Linked DNA regions of Oryctolagus cuniculus. The protein of the gene in region 1 purifies or fractionates together with the protein of each later gene. This does not show direct contact. Links are inferred from orthologs where the notes say so. Each region holds a gene or a part of one and is shown in the gene's direction. Other genes may lie near its edges.

Region 1 (10,341 bases):
AAAAAAGAAAAGATGAGGTTTATGTTTGGATTTGTACCTCCCTTGGTTGGTGTGTTGAAGGCAAATCCTTTCCCACCTGCTTCATCTTTGTCACCCTGTCGTTCCCTTGGCAGTGGTAGACAAAAATGAGGGTTTACACTGTTGTCAGGTTGCTCTAGGGTGTGACTCGTGTGTCCTCACTAGACACTCTCACCCCACGCTGTCCCTCCTCACTGAGTGTCCACTGCGGCCAGGCTCCTAACCCATTAGCATCAGGGGCTCCTTCTGATGGCCACACATCTGCCCTGAAGGAAACTGTACTTCCAACTTTCTGTTAGGTTTTCATTATGAGATCTAGACCAGTTCCAAAGCGTTACTTCTGCCGGCCATTTCTCAAACCCTTCCCAGTGCCATCTCCTCAGTGACCGGCTGCCACCTCCAGCCTGCCTTCACCTCCAAGCTGGGGTTTCTGTTAAGGTCTGTTCTGGCAGCGGCTCTTCCGGATTGGGCGCCCCGCTGACCTCATTTTCTTGAGTCCTCCCTGTGGCTCCAACTTACCTGTTCCGTGGGAGCTTTGAGGTCAGAACAACCCAGGTTTGAATTCTCAGATGTGGCATTTGTGAGCTATGTGATCCCTGTGATTCAGTGTCCAGGGTGGACATTTGGGGTAGCAGTGATGATACTGCCTAGGGCGCCTGCATCCTGTCCTCGTGCCTGTGTGTAAGTCTTGACTCTACTTCTGTATCAGCTTCCTGCTAATGTGTACCCTGGAGGCAGCGGATGATGGCCCGGATGACTTGGGTCCCTACCACCAATGAGGGAAACCTGGTTCAAGGTCCTGGCTCCTGGCCTTGGCCCAGCCCAGCTCTGCTTATTGCAGGCATTTGGGGAGTGAGTCAGTGGACGGAAGATTCTTTCTCAAGTTCTTTATTTGCTTTCCAAATAAAATGAAAGTAAATTGTTTAAATTTTTTTAGAGAAAGTTTAATGTTCCAATTTATTTAATGTGTTTGGCAGGTGGCAGGTGTTAAATGCGTGGTCATCACTATACTTTTAGTTGAATTTATGCACACGTTGCTTTGCAGAGAGCCCGAGCCCAGCACATTGTGCCCTGTACCATATCCCAGCTGCTTTCTGCCACTCTGGCCGATGAAGTTTTCAAAATTGGGAATGTTGAGATTTCACAGGTATGTGAAAGAATTTGTGTAAGAGTCGATCATATAAAGAATGAAATGACTTAATTTAAAAATGCATATGTGCTGCTTTGGTTTCTTGAAAGATAAAGTTGTTTTTTTTTCTCCTAACCTAGGTCACCATCGTGGGGATAATCAGACATGCGGAGAAGGCACCAACCAACATTGTTTACAAAATAGATGACATGACAGCTGCACCCATGGACGTCCGTCAGTGGGTCGACACAGATGTAAGAGGCTGTTTTTGATCAGGGTAGGGTTACTTTGGGACTTTGGAGAAGATGCACTTTTTAAATATTACCTTTTAAAATTTTTAATAAAAAATAATACTTAAGTGAGACGTCAGAGGCAGAAGCCCTACTGTGATGCATTAATATATTTGATTCCATAAAAGTTATTTTATTTATGTATGTGTTTATTACTTATTTTATTTGAAAGGCAGAGTTACAGAGAGGCAGAGAGAGAAAGATCTTCCATCTGCTGGTTCACTCCCCAAATGGCCGCAATGGCAAGGGCTGGGCAGATCCGAAGCCAAGAGCCTGAAACTTCTGGGTCTCCCATGGGGGTGCATGGGCCCAAGGACTTTGGCCATCTTCCACTGATTTTCCAGGCCATAGCAGAGAGCTGGGTCAGAAGTGGAGCAGCCGGGACTTGATCCAGTGTTCATATGGGATGCTGGCACTGTAGGCAGCGGCATTATCCACTATGCCACAGTGCTGGCCCCTTCGTAAGAGTTTAAAACCTTGGCCGGCGCCGCGGCTCAATAGGCTAATCTTCCGCCTGCGGTGCCGGCACACTGGGTTCTAGCCCTGGTCGGGGCGCCAGATTCTGTCCCGGTTGCCCCTCTTCCAGGCCAGCTCCCTGCTGTGGCCCGGGAGTGCAGTGGAGGATGGCCCAAGTGCTTGTGCCCTGTACCCGCATGGGAGACCAGGGAAAGCACCTGGCTCCTGGCTTCGGATCAGTGTGGTGCGCCAGCCGCGGCGGCCATTGGAGGGTGAACCAACAGCAAAGGAAGACCTTTCTCTCTGTCTCTCCCTATCACTGTCCACTCTGCCTGTCAAAAAAAAAAGAAAAGTTTAAAACCTTGTAAATTTCCCAAAATACTAAAAAGGCAAGTGACAGGACACCGTAGAATGTAAATTCCAAGAGAACAAAAATTATTTCTTTGATCACCTTTGTATTCCCAGCACCTAGAACACCTAGAATAATGTCAGTGACATAATTGGCCCAGCCTGACTTAGTAAATACTGTTTACTGTTTATATGAATGGAGAAAATATTTGCAACAAATGACAAACATTTTAAATATTAACTAAAAATGCTTACAAAGTGAAAAAAAACACCCACAATTGCACCTTAGGAAAATGGACAAAGAAGTTTTAAAGATCTATTTATTTATTTGAAAGAGTTACACAGAGAGAGAAGGAGAGGTGCAAAGAGAGAGAGGTCTTCCATCCGCTGGTTCACTCCCCAGTTGGGCGCAACGGCCAGAGCTGGGCTGATCCGGAGCCAGGAGCTTCTTCCAGGTCTCCCACGTGGGTGCAGGGGCCCAAGCACTTGGGCCATCCTTCACTGCCTTTTCAAGTGCGTTAGCAGGGAGCTGAGGCTCGAGCCTGCCTTCGGATGGGATACTGGCACTGCAGGCAGCAGCCTAGCCTGCTGCACCGCAGCTTTGACCCCGAGATACGATTTTTAATTCATTGTATTGGCAAAGAAATTTCAAAGAATGACAGTGTCAGGTTCTGGTGAGAGCAGCATAGTGCCTCTCGCACTTAGTAGGCACCTAATATGTGTTGAATGATTTGCCATTGTTTAAGGAAAAATACCATTCTACCCCGATAATATAAACAAGAATTGGCAAACCCTTCCTCAAACATCCTGTGTCAAAATTTTCAATGATTAAAATGTTGAAACAGCAACTCTACTTCTAGAGTTTTATACTGACATAATTAAAGGTGCATTCAAAGATTCACTTCTAAGAATGTTGATCATGGCCAGCGCCATGGCTCACTAGGCTAATCCTCCGCCTGCGGCGCCGGCACCCCGGGTTCTAGTCCTGGTTGAGGCCCCGGATTCTGTTCCGATTGCTCCTATTCCAGTCCAGCTCTCTGCTGTGGCCAGGGAAGGCAGTGGAGGATGGCCCAAGTACTTGGGCCCTGCACCCGCATGGGAGACCAGGAGGAAGCACCTGGATCGGTGCAGCAAGCCAGCCGTAGCAACCATTTTGGGGGTGAACCAATGGCAAAGGAAGACCTTTCTCTCTGTCTCTCTCACTGTCTAACTCTGCCTGTCAAAACAAAACAGAACACAATGTTGATCATAATGTGTTAATGAAAAATTAAAAGCAAAACCAAAATGCTAGCAATAGGAGATTATTAAGTAAGCCATGGTTTATTTATACATACTGCAAATTATTTAGAAATGTATGTATCATCACAAAGAAATATTTACTGTCAATTTGAGAAAAGGAACGTGTTGCAAGATGTATGTATGTATGTATGATTTGACCTCGTTTTTGTAATGTAATGTGTATATGATTGTCTATAAATACGAAGAAAATGAATTGAAAGAGAAACTGGCGTTGTAGCACAGTGGGTTAACTGCCACCTGCAATGCCGGCATTCCATAGTCTAGTGACGGTTCAAGTCCCAGCTGCTCCACTTTCTTTTATTTATTTTTTTAAGATTTATTTATTTATTTGAAAGGCAGAGTTACAGAGAGGCAGAGGGAGAGAGAGAGTCTTCCGTCTGCTGGTTTACTTCCCAGATGACCTTAATGGATAGAGCTGGGCTGATCTGAAGCCAGGAGCTTGGAGTGTCTTCCAAGTCTCCCACGTGGATGCAAAGCCAGGGAGTTGGGCCATCTTCTGTTTTCCCAGGCCAAAGCAGAGAGATTGGAAGTGGAGCAGCTGGGACTTGAACCAACACCCTTAAGGGATGTCAGCTCTACAGGTGGTGGTTTTACCCGCTACACCACAGCACTGATCCCATGCTGCACCACTTCCTATCTAGCCCCCTGCTAGTGCATCTGGAAAAGCGGTACAAGATGGTCCAAGTGCTCGGGCCTCTGCCATCTACGTGGTATATCTGGATAGAGTTATAAGCTCCTGCCTTTACCTCGGCCCCGCCCTGGCCATTGGAGCCATTTGGGGAATGAACCAGTGGATGGAAGATGGAGCTTGCTTGCTCTCTCTCTCTCTCTCTGTCTTTCTCTCTCCCTCTCCCCCTGTAGCTCTGCCTTTCAAATAAATAAATCTTATGCAAAAAAAAAAAAAAAAAGAAGAAGAAGAAGAAGAAGAAAATGAACTGAACTAGAAACTAGAATATATGTTAGTGGAGTGGACATTTGGCACAGCAAAATAGCTGCCCCTTGAAACTGTGAAAACAGTTTCTGTAGCTTACCTTTTTCACTTTGAAAAGTTTTTCTTAGTCCCAAAGTGTTTTTTAATTGTCTGTATTTCTATCTATAATGTCTATGGTTTTTCTTTTTTGTAAGTCATTCCATGTATTTGGAGTATATATGGATAAGAGGAGAGACACAGCAATCCAGCTTTATTTAATTATTTATTTATTTATTTTTAATTTATTTGAAAGCCAGAGTTACAGAGAGGGAGTTTGAAAGGCAGGGGGAGAGAAGTCTTCCATCCACTCCTCGAATGGGCGCAACGGCCGGAGGTGGGCCAGGCCACAGACACAAGGCTGGCCCGCAGTGTTCTTATTTTTAAATGCGTGCACTTTATTTTCTAGTTTTCCAAAGTCATATAAACATTATGTGCATATTCTAGGAAGAAGGAAATATTAAAGTTGTTTATAATTATCCTAGTTAAGCACTGTGAACATTTTGGTGTACATTTTCCCCCACTTGAGAAATCAGCATTTTCAAAGTGTTACAGCTGCTCTTCTCAGACAGGGAGTAGAATTGTGCGCAGTTTGCAGCAGTGTGGAATATTGCATTATATGAAGTGTCCTTTATGTTGGATATTTAGGTTGCTTTAAAACATTTAGTAATCTAAACAGTATTCTGATAACTTTGATGAATCTGAATTTTAATGCATGTTCTTAATTATTTCCTTTAATTTCTAAAAGTGAGTTGCTTTCCTAGCACACATGTCCAACAGAAAACAGTGTACCTGAGAACGTTGAGTGAGGATGTCACAATTGTTTGCCCTTTATGAAAGATGTACATAACATACAACTTTGGAGCTGGGAATTATTTTTAGAGAGGTTTTTGCAGCTCTAAAATGAGGTAAACTAGTTATTGCCGTATTAGGGTCCTTTAGCTCTTTACTTTGTAACTTTCTTATTCTGTACAATATTTAGAAATTTTAAAGAGGCTGTCTTTCATTAGTGCCCTGAGACCTTTGTGACATGTTTGTATTTCATCTGTTAGGACGCCAGTGGGGAGAACACCGTGGTTCCTCCAGAAACATACGTGAAGGTGGCTGGTCACCTGAGGTCTTTCCAGGTAAAGGCAATGAAAAGGCAGTTACAGTGGATTTGTATGAAGTGGCTTCTAGGTTTCAGATATTTAATACTTAATTAAGTTCCATTTTTAATGGGAAGTTACTTCATTATTCTCTTCTTCAAAAGGACAGAACTGCTTTGTACTTTAATATAAAAGTAACAGGATGATAGAGAAAAAATAGAATCTACCTACAATTGGCTGGCGCTGCGGCTCACTAGGCTAATCCTCCACCTGTGGCACTGGCACACCGGGTTCTAGTCCCGGTTGGGGCACTGGGTTCTGTCCCTGATGCCCCTCTTCCAGGCCAGCTCTCTGCTGTGGCCCGGGAGTGCAGTGGAGGATGGCCCAAGTGCTTGGGCCCTGCACCCCATGGGAGACCAGGAGAAGCACCTGGCTCCTGGCTTCGGATCAGCGCGGTACGCCAGCTGCAGCACACTGGCCGCAGCGGCCATTGGAGGGTGAACCAACGGCAAAGGAAGACCTTTCTCTCTGTCTCTCTCTCTTACTGTCCACTCTGCCTGTTAAAAAAAAAAAAAAAGAATCTACCTACAATTGCCATCTGTGGCATCCATAAAGGGTCAAAGAGAGAATTCTGAATTGCAGTCCAGATACTAGACTCTGCTTGGTTGTGTGAGCTTGGACAAGCCATGAACATCTCTGAGCTCATTTGACTTCTTCCCTCATTATTGACTATATTTGAACCACCCTGAGTTGAAATTTTTAAGTATATAACAGACATTTTCCCCTGATTGGCAAAAATACCATGACCCAAAAGCCACAGTGTTTTGACCTGAAATTCTCTTGAATGTGTTCAGCCTTAATTCTCCTTTTTCTCTTTATTTTTAACAGAACAAGAAGAGCCTGGTAGCCTTTAAGATCATGCCCCTGGAGGACATGAACGAGTTCACTGCTCACATCCTAGAGGTGGTGAATGCGCACATGATGCTGAACAAGTCACACAGCCAGGTGAGCGAGCGCACACGTGGTGCTGAACAAGTCCCGGCCAGGTGGCAGCTGCCCGGAGCAGAGGCTGCTGTTCTGCGCTGGCTGTGGTGCCTTGACATCGTGACGGCTGGGCCCGAGGAGCATCTCCCAGTCCTCAGACCTTTTCTCTGTGAGCCTCGCTGTTTTTATTCCCGATGAAGCACTCACGTTGCTTAGAACCACGGGTTCCTCTCACCTGTTGGCTTGGGTGGCTGAGGCCTAGCACAGCCCTCAGGTATAGACAGGTAACTACAGGCTGCACTGCTAGCTCCAGGAGTGTCAGAACCACGAGTAGGATGCCATCTTACTGCTTTCCTGCCAGCCTGTTGGCTGAAGAGAAACATTGACCATTATATTTTCCCCTGAAATTTCTCCTGTTATTTTCTGTTGTGTGAATTCACATTGGCAAATCTGTCTAGGACCACACAGAGGGTGATTCTAGTATTAGAAATTCCCAGAGGATTCGAGAAGCCAGTGGAGGATTGGTTACATGGGAGACAGGAGAACTAATAAGCCAGTGACAGGGCTGTTGCCACCTAACCTTTGCTAAGCATTTGGGATACAGAGGTAAACTCGTTTGTTTATGTATTTGAATAACACTCATGGAGCCTACTCTGGGCCACTCACCATTCTAGTCCTTCGGGATGCAGCAGTGAGGTAGGCAGAGGATCTGCTCTCAAATTCCTGTTCAAAGAAGCAGGCAAGAAACCAGAGAATGCATGTAATTACAGGTGGGTAGGTGCTCAAATAAAGCTGCAAGACAGTGATGGCAGGAACAGGAATGCTAAGATTTAGGGGCTGGCGTAGCACAGCAGGTTAAGTTGTCACTTAGGACCAGCATCCCACATCAGAATTCAAGTCCCGGCTGCTCTGCTTCCAACTCAGCTCCCTGCTAATCTTCCTGGGAAGGCAGTGGGTGATGGACCAAGTATCTAGGCTCTTGCCATCCATGTGGGAGACTCAGATGGAGTTCTAGGCTCCTGGGTTCAGCCTGGCCCACCCCTGGCCATTGCAGGTATTTGGAGAATGAACCAGCAGATGGAAGATTTCTTTGTCTCTGCTTCTCCTTCACTCACTATAACTCTGCCCCTCAAATAATAAATCTTTAAAAATGTGGAGGGGAAAAGGGAGAGTTCAAAAATGACTCCTGTGTCTGGGGCTTGAGCAGCTGGATAAAGCTAGCAGACTTGGAGGTAAAATGCAGAGTTCTGTTTTGGACCTTGCAAGTGTGAGATGCCAGTTAGACAGCCAAGTGAGCAGCTGAATGTATGAGGCTGGGGAGAAGTCAGGGCCGGAGAAAGAACAGTAGGAGTCATTGTGTGGGGGTGATAATTTAAAGCCTTGAATGATGACGTAACTAGGGAGTTAAGAGGGCGGAGACCCTAAGTGCTGGGACACACAAACCTTTAGAAATCTAGAAACAGTAGGAGTCGTTGAAAGTCAGAGAGGTTGCTGCTTAGGCAGCAGAAAACCAGGAATTGTGATTCTGTACAATATTCTGGAAAGATCGTCTCATGAAGGAGAGAACGGAGATAGAGTGTTGAATGCCGCCTGGCACCCAGTGAGGTGATGAAAAAGGTCTGTCCTGGCATCTGGACGTGTGGATCTTCTCAAAGACTTCAATGGAGGCTGGGAAGGGGGTTAAAGGGAACGGGATCGGCTAGAAGTTTAAAGTGTTTGTTTTATTACATATGTTAGTGATGCATATTATTTGATAAAAATGGTTTTGACCTGAGAATGGCTGGTTAGGGAGTAGAGGCTACAAGTGTACTTAGAATATTAAAGGCAAAGAAAAGAAGGTGATTCTTTCCCTCAGAGGGGGCTACATTACAAAGTGGGGGTTGGGACACCCAAACAGTGGAAGCGTTGATAAGTTGGCCAAGTGCGGGGTGCTGTGGAACCACAGAACAGGATGTCCCATCCTGGCCTGGACACGTAGAAAGGCTGCCTGGAGAAGGCGATGCCTAAACCAAGTCTTAGGGCAAGACTGGGTATGAGCTGAGACCATCTGAAAGGGGGAGGGCGGTTGTCATGTTGGTGAAGAAATTTGGGTAAGAAACAGAATCCGGCCGGCGCCGCAGCTCACTAGGCTAATCTTCCATCTAGCGGCGCCGGCACACCGGGTTCTAGTCCCGGTCAGGGCGCCAGATTCTGTCCCAGTTGCCCCTCTTCCAGGCCAGCTCTTTTGTGGCCAAGGAGTGCAGTGGAGGATGGCCCAAATACTTGGGCCCTGCACCCCATGGGAGACCAGGATAAGTACCTGGCTCCTGCCATCGGATCAGCGCGGTGCGCCGGCTGCAGCGTGCCGGCCGCAGCGGCCATTGGAGGGTGAACCAATGGCAAAGGAAGACCTTTCTCTGTCCACTCTGCCTGTCAAAAAAAAAAAAAAGAAAGAAAGAAAGAAAAAGAATCCACTCAGTATTACTAGATGATAAAATGTAGAGTCCTTGGGCCAGCGCTGTGACATAGCAGTTTGAACCACCATCTGCAGTGTGGCATCCCATATGGGTGCTGATTTAAGTTCTAGCTGCTCTGCTTCTGATCCAGCTCCCTGCTAATGCTCCTGGGAAAGCAGCAGAAGATGGCCCCCGCACCCACATGGGAGACCAGATGAAGCTCCTGGCTCCTGGCTTTGGCCTGGCCCAAGCCATTTGGAGAGTGAACCAGCAGATAGAAGATCTTTCCCTCTCTCTCTTTCTCTCTATAACTCTGACTTTCAAATAAATAATGAAAAAAGAAAGAAAAATAAATAAATGTAGAATCCTGTTTCACCAGCAGGCAGCATGGAAGCATTTAGCTTTGACCACAAGGGACAATGGTTGATTTTTACTTTTTTTAATGGTACAAAGACAGAAGGCATTTATTTATTTATTTTTAAAGATTGATTTTTTTTTTTTGAAAGAGCTATACACAGAAAGAGAAAGAGGCAGAGAGAGAGCCGTCTTCATCCACTGGTTCACTCCTCAACTGGCTGCAATGGCCAGAGCTGAGCCGATCCAAAGCCAGGATCCAGGCGCTTCTTCCGGGCCTCCCACATGGGTGCAAGGGCCCAAGGATTTGGGCCATCTCCTGCTGCTTTCCTAGGCCATGACAGAGAGCTGGATCGGAAGTGGAGCAGCCAGGACTTGAACTGGCCCCCACCTTTTTTTTTTTAGGATTTATTTATTTATTTATTTGAAATTCAGGGTTACAGAGAAGCAGGGGCAGGGAGAGAGAGAGATCTTCCCTCCACTGGTTCACTCTCCAGATGACCGCAATGGCTGGGGCTGTGCCGATCAGGAGCCAGGAGCTTCTTCCCAGTCTCCCACAAGGGTGCAGGGACCCAAGGACTTGGGTCATCTTCTGATGCTTTCCCAGGCTATAGCAGAGAGCTGGAACTGAACTGGAGCACCCGGGACTTGAACTGGTGCCCATATGGGATGCTGGCACTGCAGGCAACGGCTTTTCCCACTGCTCCACAGCGCTGGCCCCTGAACACTTCTTAAAAGAATCTCCTTACTGGCTAGGATTTCTCTTCTCCAGCACTCATGCATCTGCTTTGTGTTTTTGGGTTTTTTGTTTGTTTGTTTGTTTGTTATGTTTTGTTTTGTTTTGTTTGACAGGCAGAGTTAGACAGAGACAGAGACAGAGAGAAAGGTCTTCCCTCCGTTGGTTCACCCCCCGAATGGTCACCACGGCCAGTGCACTGCACCGATCAGGAGCCAGGAGCCTCCTGCCAGTCTC
Region 2 (10,816 bases), on another chromosome or scaffold:
ATTGGCAGGAAGCTGAAGCGGGAATCCAACCCAGACACTCAGGTGTGCGATGCAAGTGTCTGACCACTAGGCTCAGTGCCTACTCCGACTCCTAATGTTTCATTAGCTGCTTTTGTTTTTGAAGATTTATTCTATTTATTTGAAAAGCAGAGTTAGAAACAGAGATCTTCCATTTGCCAGTTCACTCCCCAGGTGGCCACAATGACCAGGGTTGGGCCAGACTGAAACCAGGAACTAGGAGCCTCTTCCAGGTCTCCTATGTGGGTTCAGGGGCCCAAACACTTGAACCATCATCCGTTGCTTTCTCAGATGCATTAGCAGGGAGCTGGATCAGAATTGGAGCAGCTGGGACTCTAACCAGCGCCCATATGGGATGCCGGCATTGCAGGCAGTAACTTAACCAGCTGTGCCACAACACTGGCCACCTGTTAACTTCTTCTTCCTTTTTTTTTTTTTTCCTTAAGATTCTTTTATTTGTTTGGAAGGCACTTACAGAAAGGCAGAGGCAGAGAGACAGAGATCTTCCATCTGCTGGTTTATTCCCCAAACTGTCACAATGCCCCAGGCTGGGCCAATCCGAAGCTAGAAGCTAAGAGCTTCCTCTGGGTCTCCCACTCGGGTGCAGGGGCCCAAGGACTTGGGCCACCTTCTACTGCTTTCCCAGGCCATAGCAGAGCTGGATCCGAAGTGGAGCAGCCAGGTCTTGAATCGGCGCCCGTATGGGATGTGGGCACTGCAGGCAGCGGCTCAACCCACTGCGCCGCAGCTAGTGATGATTTCCTTGTTCAGCGCTGTCAGCCGCCCTGGGCATGGTGGAGGCAGGGAGGGAGGGAGTGTTGCCAGGGCTGCCGACACCTTTGTCCCAGTGTGTTTGATCCAGTATTTCTCACCCATACAGTGCTGAGATTCCTTTTCAGAATGAAACAACGTTTCTTGTAGCTACCCTTGACCTGTGATTCTGTATCAGGAAAAGGTCAATCCTTGGTAAGCCTATGCACGCTGAACATCCCTAATTCTAATAGCTGAAACCTGAAATGCTCCAAACCCGACACTTTGAGCATCGATATTATATCACAAATGGAAGATCCCACACCTGGCCTCATGTGACAGGTCACAGTCAAAATGCAAGTGCACTAAAAGTACTGTATAGGCGCAGGCATTTAATAGAGCTGTTAAGACACCACTTGGAGTACCTGGAGTCCATATCAGAGTGTCTGGGCTCCAGCCCTGGCTCCATTCCCAGCCCAGTTTCCTGCTGTTGTACACTCTGGCAGGCAGCAGGTGATGGCTCAAGGACTTGGGTCCCTGCCACCAAGGTGGGAAACCTGGATTGAGTTCATTGAACATCAGCTAACTTTGAAAGCTTTATTTTGTTGTGGCCCTTTTTGTATTTTCATTCCTATATTAGGCATCTTTCATTCTCTAATTAAGTTGCTTACTGGGTGCAAAATACGTTGTCAGTTGTAAATTGAGTACTGTAAATGTGGTGAGTGACTGAGATGCCAGGATCATAACATGGAAGGTAATAGATGGTGTAGTGTAATGTGGCAGTTAAGAATATGGACGGGGGTTGGACTCGCAGTTCCTGCTTCCTGCTAGCGTAGACCATGGCCGGCAGCAAGTAATGACTCAAGTAATTGGGTTCTTGACACCCATGTAGGAGACCTGAATTGACTTCCAGATCCTGGCTGCGGTGGGCGTTTGAGGAGTGAACTAGTGGGTGGGAACTCTGTGTCTCCATCTCTGTCTGTCTTTCTGCCCCTTAAATGAATGAGTGAACATGGACTTGGGAGTTAGACTACCTGGTTTGGAATCCTGGTTCATCACATGCCAGCTTATTACTTTGAACAGTGCCTAACACAAGACCTGTAGGGGCTGGCCCTATGGTGCAGTAGGTTAGTCCTCCACCTGCAGCACTAGCATCCCATATGGGTGCCGGTTCTAGTCCCGGTTGCTCCTCTTCCAGTCCAGCTCTCAGCTGTGGCCTGGGAAAGCAGTAGAAGATGGCCCAAGTGCTTGGGCCCCTGCATCCACATGGGAGACCAGGAAAAAGCACCTGGCTCCTGGCTTCTGACTGGCACAGCTCTGGCCATTGTGGCCATTTGGGGAGTGAACCAACGGAAGGAAGACCTTTCTCTCTGTCTCTCCCTCTCACTGTCTGTAACTCTACCTCTAAAATGAGTTGTGGCATGGAGAGTAAGACCAGAACAGAAAGCTGAAAGGCCACTCTGCATCTTTTTGTCAAGATAGACCCCCAGACTGAGAGCCACACTTTACCAGGGTCTACATCAGACCCATGGGACTTCTCCCATAGGAACGGTTTCTCTCTAACGGGATTTTTTTTTTTTTTCCTTTCCTTTTGCAGCCACAGGTGGAATTAAGAAATCTGGCAAAAAGTAAGCTGTTCCTTGTGCCTGAAGTGATGACGCCCTTGATTGCATTCCTAGCTAAACATCTCGATTCCCGGCCATAACATCTTATGCCACCGTAGTTAGAATGAAGTGTTAAGAGTTAAGTGTTATCTTGGAGCCTGTTGTACATTTACAAATAAAATTTTGTAAAAAGGGGAATAAACTCCACTGTACTGTAGCTCACTGTCTTAGTTGTTTTCACTCAGCCACTCCCAGCTGTGAATTTAAAGTAAACCCAGCCGAGAACCCTTCCAGAGTCTGCTCTTTGCTCTCCAAATTCTGTGTCACCTGGAATTAAACCACGGCATTGGAAAGGCTGTAGCTCCTGTGTGGTTGTGTACCTGACAATACCTTACATGAGATTTGTGGAAGAAGTACTTGGGAAGGAAAACGTGGCTCCTCTTTCTCTGCTACAGTACGCACGTGTGCTGTGTGTGGCCACCGGGCCAGTGCCAGTAAACAGCCAGCGTCAGCGAGCAACTTCCTGTCGTGGGAGGGGGACAAGACGAATACAGGAGATGTGCACCGTGAAAGGGGAAAGAAGGGAGTGAGATTCCTGAACGTCTCTTCAGTATCAGACTCCCCCAGAAGCCCTAGGGACAACATTTGCACTAAGGTCCTTGCTGGGGTCCCATGTTAGACCTCACATCCAGTCCATGAGCAAAATCAGATTACCTTAGTGTCCTCTCAGCGCCATGTGCCCACTGCAGCTCTGACCCTTCACCTGTATGACTGCAGTTGCCTCCAGAGTTCACTCGGGTCCAGAGCGCGCTTGCTGAACCGTGAGTCATACTTTGTTTCTTGGCTCAGAGTTAGCAACGCCACAGTGCAAAGGGGTATGGATGCCACTGCCTTATATGCATTACCCAGCCCCCGGTCCTCCTCAGCCAGCGGCTTGAGGCCAGCTCCCAGCTCCTTTCCACCTGCACGTTCTCATAGATGCTGAACACTCCCTGTATTCCTCAGAAGACCAAAACTCCGCCATCACAATAGTGAGCTCTCCTGCTAACAATGAGTTTGCAGTCAGTCCCATTGTCTTTATTTTTCTCTCCCAGTTATCTACCATCTCTGACTAAAATGTAAACGTTAGGACAGTGACCATAAGGTGTGCTAAATGTGGAGGTACTCCAAAGTCTGCAGGAAGTGGGAGTTTATTTTGGTGGCAAAATATTTTGAAGCCCATGATAGTCACATGTATTTATTGTATCACTTCAGAAGCACAAGTGCAGGCCATTGATGCAGCTATGGGACTAAAGCTAAGCTTTCTCTGAGGATGTCCTCAGAGAGGCTTGTAGGCTTGGCCAGGTGAAAACTGGAAAAGTGACAGATTAAACCCTGTCCTGTGATTAACGTAGTCGATGGTGACAGGGTGCTTTGGTCCTCTGGGAAGTTGCACAACTAGCAGCTCCTCTGGGCTGCAGAACATTTCCCATGGGGCCTTGCAAGCTGGCACCCCGCAGTGTGCTGTCAAAATCAGTCCTTGCACCGCCCGTGAGAGCACACTGCCTCTGAGAGCAAGTCGCTGCTCTCTGGCAGAATCTAATCCCTCCTGATGGGTGATCCTGTCTTTCCAAGGCCAGAGACCTACAGCAATTAATATGGAAGCATTCGACATTTGTGCAGCCGAGTTTCAGAAAACACGAAAGCCTTCTAGGACTTGACAGCAGTCTGCCCTCACAGGTATTGGTAGGAGACTCAGGCTCAGTTTGGCACTGAGTACCCAAGGTTTAAGAATCTTGCTCCTGTTACTCTCCGTGCCAATCTCCCCTGTTCAACTGCTCTGCGCACCGCAGCTACCACTCTGGGAAGCCTTACTGTCTGCCATAGATTACCAACACCTGGCCTGCCTTGGGTGGGGAATTCTGCGCTAGCCTTCTACCCCTTTATCTTGCTGTCTCCCACCTGACAACCTGTAGGACAGCCCAGGTGCCACTTCGGGGGGGGGGGGGGGCTCTTCCTTGACCTGACCCTCACTCATCTTTATACAACCAGTGCTTGTGACAAATATGCTCCAGCAATCTCCGAGAGAATGAATGAATGAATGAATGAAAGAAGTCTGAGCACTTCCCACACGGATGGTTCTCCTTGGACCTGTCTTCCCGAAACCTACCTCAAATGCCACACATTTCACACTCCTCGCCTAATCTCCCTAAAGGAGCCTCGGAGTATGTGATGGAAAGAGGCAGCGAGCTCTCGGGGGCCAGAACCCTGAACTCTGCCTGCCTCGATTCAAACGCACAAGGGTGACTGTCAGGGCGAACTGTCCCCCGCAGTTCTGTGCTCTGCTGGGCGCCAGGCAACCTCGAGGTTTCCCCGAAAACCCCCGGCGCCGGAGCCGGGCTCAGCTGGGCGGAGAGGGGCGGGGCGCCATCGACACTGGCGGGGACTCGGCCGAGCCTGGCGGCGCGCTCGGAGAGACGTCATTTCTCCGCGCTCGCGGGCCGGCAGCTGATTGGCCCGTGGGGTCGGGGGCGGTGCATAAGAGGCTGAGGCGAGTGCCGGCTCGCGGGCGGTTGGCTCGCCGGCGGCTTCGCGCTGCCGTGTGGGATTTGGCGTCTTCAGATGCTTGGGGCCGGCTGGAGGCATGGCTGGGACCTCCGCGCCGGGCAGGAGGCGGAGCGGGCCCGCAGCCCCTCGCCCTAGCCCGCTGCCCTCCACTGGGCACCCCCCAAGCAAGCGGGCCCGGGGTTTCCCTGAGGCCGCCGCCCCGGACCCTGAAGACCCGTTCGGCGAGCACGGAGACTTCACCGCTGACGACCTGGAGGAGCTCGACATCCTCGCGTCACAGGCCCTGAGCCAATGCCCGGCCGCGGCCCGGGACGTGTCCAGTGAGTGCCCTTCCCGGCCTCTTCCCCGGAGGGCAGTGCAGACCGCACCACATCTCCTTGACCGCTGTGGCTTCCGAACTCCAGGCGAGCGCTGCCCCAGTGTCCTGAACTAACACTCCCTTAACCTTCTTAAAAATACAGTAACGCCCCGATTGGAGCAGTTGGTTGTGTTCCAGGAGCTCCCTCGATTTGGGGGAGAAATGCATCTGGAATATCACTTGGAAATATAGAAAGCTAGGTTGACTTTTTTTTTTTTTTTTTTTTAAGTTAAGGCTACTCGGTTCTTAAAAGGTTCTAAGCAGAGATCCGTGGAACACATCTACCGGAACCATGGCTACCCACGTGCGAGTCTTTAAATCTGAAGCCCTCGTGCCCCTTAGCATGAGCCTAGGAGGAGCCTAGCAGAGGCAACAGATCAAAAATTTATTCTTAGACAAGCTTAATCAGCGCCACATGCAGCCGGCCTACCAATTAACAAAATAGGGCACATCCTGCATGGCGCTCGCTCCGTAGTTGAGTCTCATGCGGCTTCCAGAAAGGTTTCCGGGACATCTTGCCTCTGTAGTTGTTTGACAGGCATCTGAAACTCAACACGGTAATGGTCCGGAAACCCAGGCCTCCTGCAGCGTCTCCCGCGCTATTCCCGCTCGGCAGACTTGGAGAAGACACCTGTGATGACCAGATGCTCCCCCCGGCAGACTGTCTTCCGCCTTCACCCTACCTCTCTTTCCTTTGCCAATCCTGCCCACTTCCTGGGTCTGTCTCTGGACTCCATCCTGTTCCCATGGTCTCTGAACTCCCTGAGAGTCCGCCCCTGCACGAGATTGCTAACCTGGCTCCCCATTCCCTGTGCTGACTGCCTGCAAGTCAGACTTCACACTACAGCCAGAACGATCCTTGCAGAACCCACACTGGGCCATGTCGCACAGACAAATGTGAACATAGCTGCCGGACGTCCTTTAATAACTTCCCTCTGCTTCTAGAATGAAGACCTAAACCCTTAACGTGCGTGGTCTGCCCCGACTGCTAGCCACACTAACTTTGCCTCGTTCTGTGATTGCTCCCTGTTTGCTTCTAATACAGGAACTTTGCACGTTGCTCTTTGTTACACACTGACTGTTCTTGCTAGCCATCTGCCCTCAGGGTTCAGTCCGGCTTGTCTTTGAACCACAGCTCCTGAAGGCTTCCTGAGGGAAGCCTTCCAGTCACTGCGTTTGGCTCAGATGCCTCTTAGCAGAGGCTCTCCTCACGGTTGTAATTTAACATTTATTTGTGTATGAAGACTGTATCTGTTGTGTTCCCCATGCCAGCTGTATTGGCGCTCAGTAAATACTGCTAAATAACGTGACACCGAGCTCTGGCCGGTGAGAGCCCCTCACCACCTCTCACCCTTCAGTGAGACTTGAAATCGGGTGAGGATATAGACAGGGTGAAAAGATCCACTATTTCCTAAGTATCATTTATGAGTTTGAATCCTCCTCTTAGGTTGGGAATTCCCTATATGTCTTGCTTATAGAACTTTCTCTACTTTGCTCTCAAGATTGATTCTTTTCAGCATTTTCTAGCAAAAGTAGGAAAATGTTGGGTGCTAAATTATGTATGGGAACTGTTTTTTCTTTTCCTACAGGTATTCATAAAGTTCCCAGGTTAGATGGGATGTCAAAAACTCCAGCAGGGAAAAACAGAGAAAGTGTACCTGTTAAAGATAATTTTGAGTTAGAAATACTTCAAGCACAATACAAAGAACTAAAAGAAAAGGTAAGTAATTTAACCTGTGGTTTTTGCAGTTAATTCATTCACTTACGTGTTAGAAGACATTGTACAATAAAAGATAAAAATATGAAGGTTTTTAAGAGCATAGATTCACAGCTACAAAATGAAGAACACTGGGGAAAGAAAGCCAGAACATTTAGGCTGAAGAATTATAGATTGTGAGGTTGCTTAGAGCTAGGCGAGAAGAAAAAATTATGGGAAAGGTATTTGGCACAGAACTTTAAGATGCTACTTGGGGCCGGTGCCACGGCTCACTAGGCTAATCCTCCACCTTGCGGCGCCGGCACACTGGGTTCTAGTCCCATTCGGGGTGCCGGATTCTGTCCCGGTTGCCCCTCTTCCAGGCCAGCTCTCTGCTGTGGCCAGGGAGGGCAGTGGAGGATGGCCCAAGTGCTTGGGCCCTGCACCCCATGGGAGACCAGGAGAAGCACCTGGCTCCTGCCATTGGATCAGCGCGGTGCGCCTGCCACAGCGCACCAGCAGCGGCAGCCATTGGAGGGTGAACCAATGGAAAAGGAAGACCTTTCTCTCTCTCTCTCACTGTCCACTCTGTCAAAAAAAAAAAAAAAAAAAAAAAAAAAGGCTACTTGGGATGCCCGCTTTCTGTATCGGAATGTTTGATTTAAATCCCAGCTCTGCTTCTGATTCCAGCTTCCTGGTGAGGCACACCCTGGGAAGCAGCAGATGATGGTTCAAGTGCTTGGGTCCCTGCCACCCATGCGGAAGACCCTGATTGAGTTCCAGGCTCTCAGCTTCAGCCTGGCCCAGCTCTAGCTGTTGCAGACGTTTGGGGAGTGAACCAACAGGTGGAACATCACTCTGTCACTCTGCTCTTCTAATTAAAAAAAAAGTTTTTTAGAAGGAAAAGAAACATTTTATACTAAATCCAAGAAGAGATAAAATGAGAGATGAATTTATGGTATGCATGTTTTTTTAATTTTATATTTAAATAAATTTTTTTAATTTACTTATCTGAAAGGAAGAATTACTGAGAGGCAGAAGGAGAGGTCTTCCATAAGCTGGCTCACTCCCCCAGATGGCCACAAGGACAGAGCTGTGCCAGTCGAAAGGCAGGAGCCAGAAGCTTCTTCCTTGTCTCTCACATGGATGTAGGGGCCCAAGTACTTGGGCCATCTTCCACTGCTTTCCCAGGCCATAGCAGAGAGCTGGATCGGAAGTGGAGCAGCCAGGACTCGAACAGGCACCTGTATGGGATGCCAGCACTGAAGGTGGTGGTTTTACCCCCCATGCCACAGTGCCGGCTCCTAAATAAATTTTTAAGAAAAGTTGTTTGAAAAGGCAGGATGACAGAGGGTAAGGTAGAGTCTCATCTGGGACTCCCACGTGGCTGGCAGGAACCCAAGTGCTTAGCTATTCTCTGTATCCCAGAAAGATTAACAGGAAGCTGGGTCAAAAGTGTGGTGCTGGGAAATGAACCCTCACACCAGTGTGGGATGTGGGCATCCCAAGCACTGGCTTAACCTACTGTGTCACAGTGCCCACCCCAATAATTTTTTTTTAAAGATTGATTTATTTAGTTGAAAGACAGAGTCACAGAGAGGCAGAGAGAGAGAGAAAGGTCTTCAATCCACTGGTTCACTCCCCAGTTGCCCACAATGGCTGGAGCTGCACTGATCTGAAGCCAGGAGCCCAGAGCTGCTTCTGGGTCTCCCATGTGGGTGCAGGGGCCCAAGGACTTGGGCCATTTTCTACTGCTTTCCCAGGCCATAGCAGAGAGCTGGATCAGAAGTGGAGCAGTCAGGACTCGAACCGGCACCCATTTGGGATGCTGGCACTGCAGGTGGCGGCTTAACTCGCTATCCCACAGCACACACCCCCCTCCCCTTTTTTTAAGATGTATTTGTTTGAAAGGGTTGGAGAGATCTTCCATCTGCTAGTTCAGTCCCCAAATGCCCACAATAGCCAGAGCTGGGCCAATCTGAAATCAGGAGCCAGGAACTTCCTCCAGGTCTCCCACATGGGTGCAAGGGGTCCAAGGACTTGGGCCATCTTCTGTTGCTATCCCAGGCCATAGCAGAGAGCTGGATTGGAAGTGGAGCAACCAGGACTCGAACTGGCGCCCATATGGGATGCCAGCATTGCAGGCAGCAGGTTTACCCACTATGCCACAGTGCCGGTCTCCCTGTGCTTTCTGTATCTCCCCAGCTGTAGATTAAAACAAAGTGTGTAAATAACTTTACCGTACAGACTTTTCACAAGATTAATGTTTAATTTACAGCTGAAGGCGATGGAAGAAAAAGTCCTCATTAAGAATGGAGAAATTAAAATTTTGCGAGACTCGCTGCATCAGACAGAATCTGTTCTAGAGGAGCAGAGAAGATCCCATTTCCTTCTTGAGCAGGAGAAAACCCAAGCCCTTAGTGACAAAGAAAAGGAATTCTCCAAGAAGGTGAGCAAAGCATTCCTTGAGAAGCAAGGGCCGGTGTTGCCCAGGGAGGTTTCAGCACGTGCTGTGGTACACACTTTGGTGCTTTTAGCTAGTTGTCCCGCAGATGTTCTTCCGTGGTGTGCATGTAGTCAGGAAAATGACTTAGATGAAATGCCACTTGGCCCTGGTAGTTGGTCTTAGCAAGGCTAAACCCCTGATTTAGAATGTCTAGAAGCAGGTAAATGAAGGCTCTTGTAGTGGGTTAGAAACTTACTTGACCTAGTGTAGGCGAAAAGGGAATGTATTGGCTTCCGTAATCGAGCCTGGGGGAAACTGGAATGTCTTCAACCTTGCCAGGACACAATTTCATGGCCTGTGCTCTAGAGAGGCTCCCTCCTGGGGCAGAGGATGTGTTCTCCAGGAGCTGCCGGGCTGACTTCCTAACTCCAGTGCAGAGTTCAGACTGGGGCTCCCTTATCTGAAGGCTTAAAATTCTGAGGAGGCCTGTGATAAACCTAACTTGAGTCAGGTGCTTGTCCCTGGATGAGCTGATATAAGCGCAGAGATAAAATCTGCCACTGCAGTCACGCAGAGGTTGAGAGGTGATTGCTTCTCAGGGACAAGGAGACACTGTCCTGGGAGAGAGAGCAGTAGGCATCCAGTGCAGACCTGCGCTGCCTTCTGCACGTGCTGATGCTTCAGGCCCACTCAGGAGCTCTCACTGCCATTGCTTCATTGCACACATTACAGTGAGCACTTAGCCATCCCCAGCACTAATGGCAGTTGACTTTGCACGTTCATGATGAGGAACAGGGAATTCGTCATCAGACAAATCAGTTTGATTTCCAGCTTCATCACAACCAAGTGGTGACCTCAGTGTAATGACCTAAGCTCCGTTATCCTTTGCCCTTATCTGTTTCAGAATGAAATCGGAAAGTCTATTGGGAGGCTCACATACTTCTTGTGTGTGATGATGCCTGGCATGGAGCAAGAGTGTGTTTAGGAAATGATGGTGGTGTCTATTGGCTGGAGGTCCTGGGGTTTTCATAAAACCATTCCAGATTTGCTGCCCAAACTTTCAGGAAGACCTGGAATTGTCCTTCACTGCCTAAGATCAGCTGTCTTGCTGAGATGCGGCTGCTTGCCAAGCACTTTGCCAAGCTGGGCGTTTTATGTTCGTCATTCCATTGCATCCTCCCAACCACGAGGGAAGAGAGACGAGCTGAGGGTCAGTGAGGCTAGGTCATGGCGGGGGCGGGAGTTCACCCTCAGACTGCCCGTACAGTAGCCAGAGTCCAATATCATTTTAGAGTGTCATGCTGTCTTTGAGGAAGAAGGCCAGTGTTTGATGTTGTAGGACATTGGTAGAGTATTTTTCCTTTACTAGCTTGGGATTTTTGAGTTCACAAGATATT

The links.
Region 2: the proteins of RPA2 (region 1) and ATRIP purify together in Homo sapiens (affinity purification with western blotting; 5 studies listed by BioGRID, with this or other methods). This does not show direct contact. The link is inferred for Oryctolagus cuniculus from reciprocal best matches to the Homo sapiens genes RPA2 and ATRIP.

Annotation. Positions count from the first base shown.
Region 1 is NC_091438.1:143,727,616-143,737,956, forward strand, and holds part of RPA2 (replication protein A 32 kDa subunit), read left to right. Parts: intron 1-1,063; coding exon 1,064-1,165; intron 1,166-1,287; coding exon 1,288-1,401; intron 1,402-5,559; coding exon 5,560-5,634; intron 5,635-6,483; coding exon 6,484-6,600; intron 6,601-10,341. UniProt on the Homo sapiens protein: As part of the heterotrimeric replication protein A complex (RPA/RP-A), binds and stabilizes single-stranded DNA intermediates that form during DNA replication or upon DNA stress.
Region 2 is NC_091441.1:100,603,775-100,614,590, reverse strand, and holds the start of ATRIP (ATR-interacting protein), read left to right. Parts: upstream 1-4,889; 5' UTR 4,890-4,995; coding exon 4,996-5,323; intron 5,324-6,866; coding exon 6,867-6,997; intron 6,998-9,251; coding exon 9,252-9,422; intron 9,423-10,816. Other genes in the region: TMA7 (translation machinery-associated protein 7), read left to right, coding at 2,366-2,400. UniProt on the Homo sapiens protein: Required for checkpoint signaling after DNA damage. Required for ATR expression, possibly by stabilizing the protein.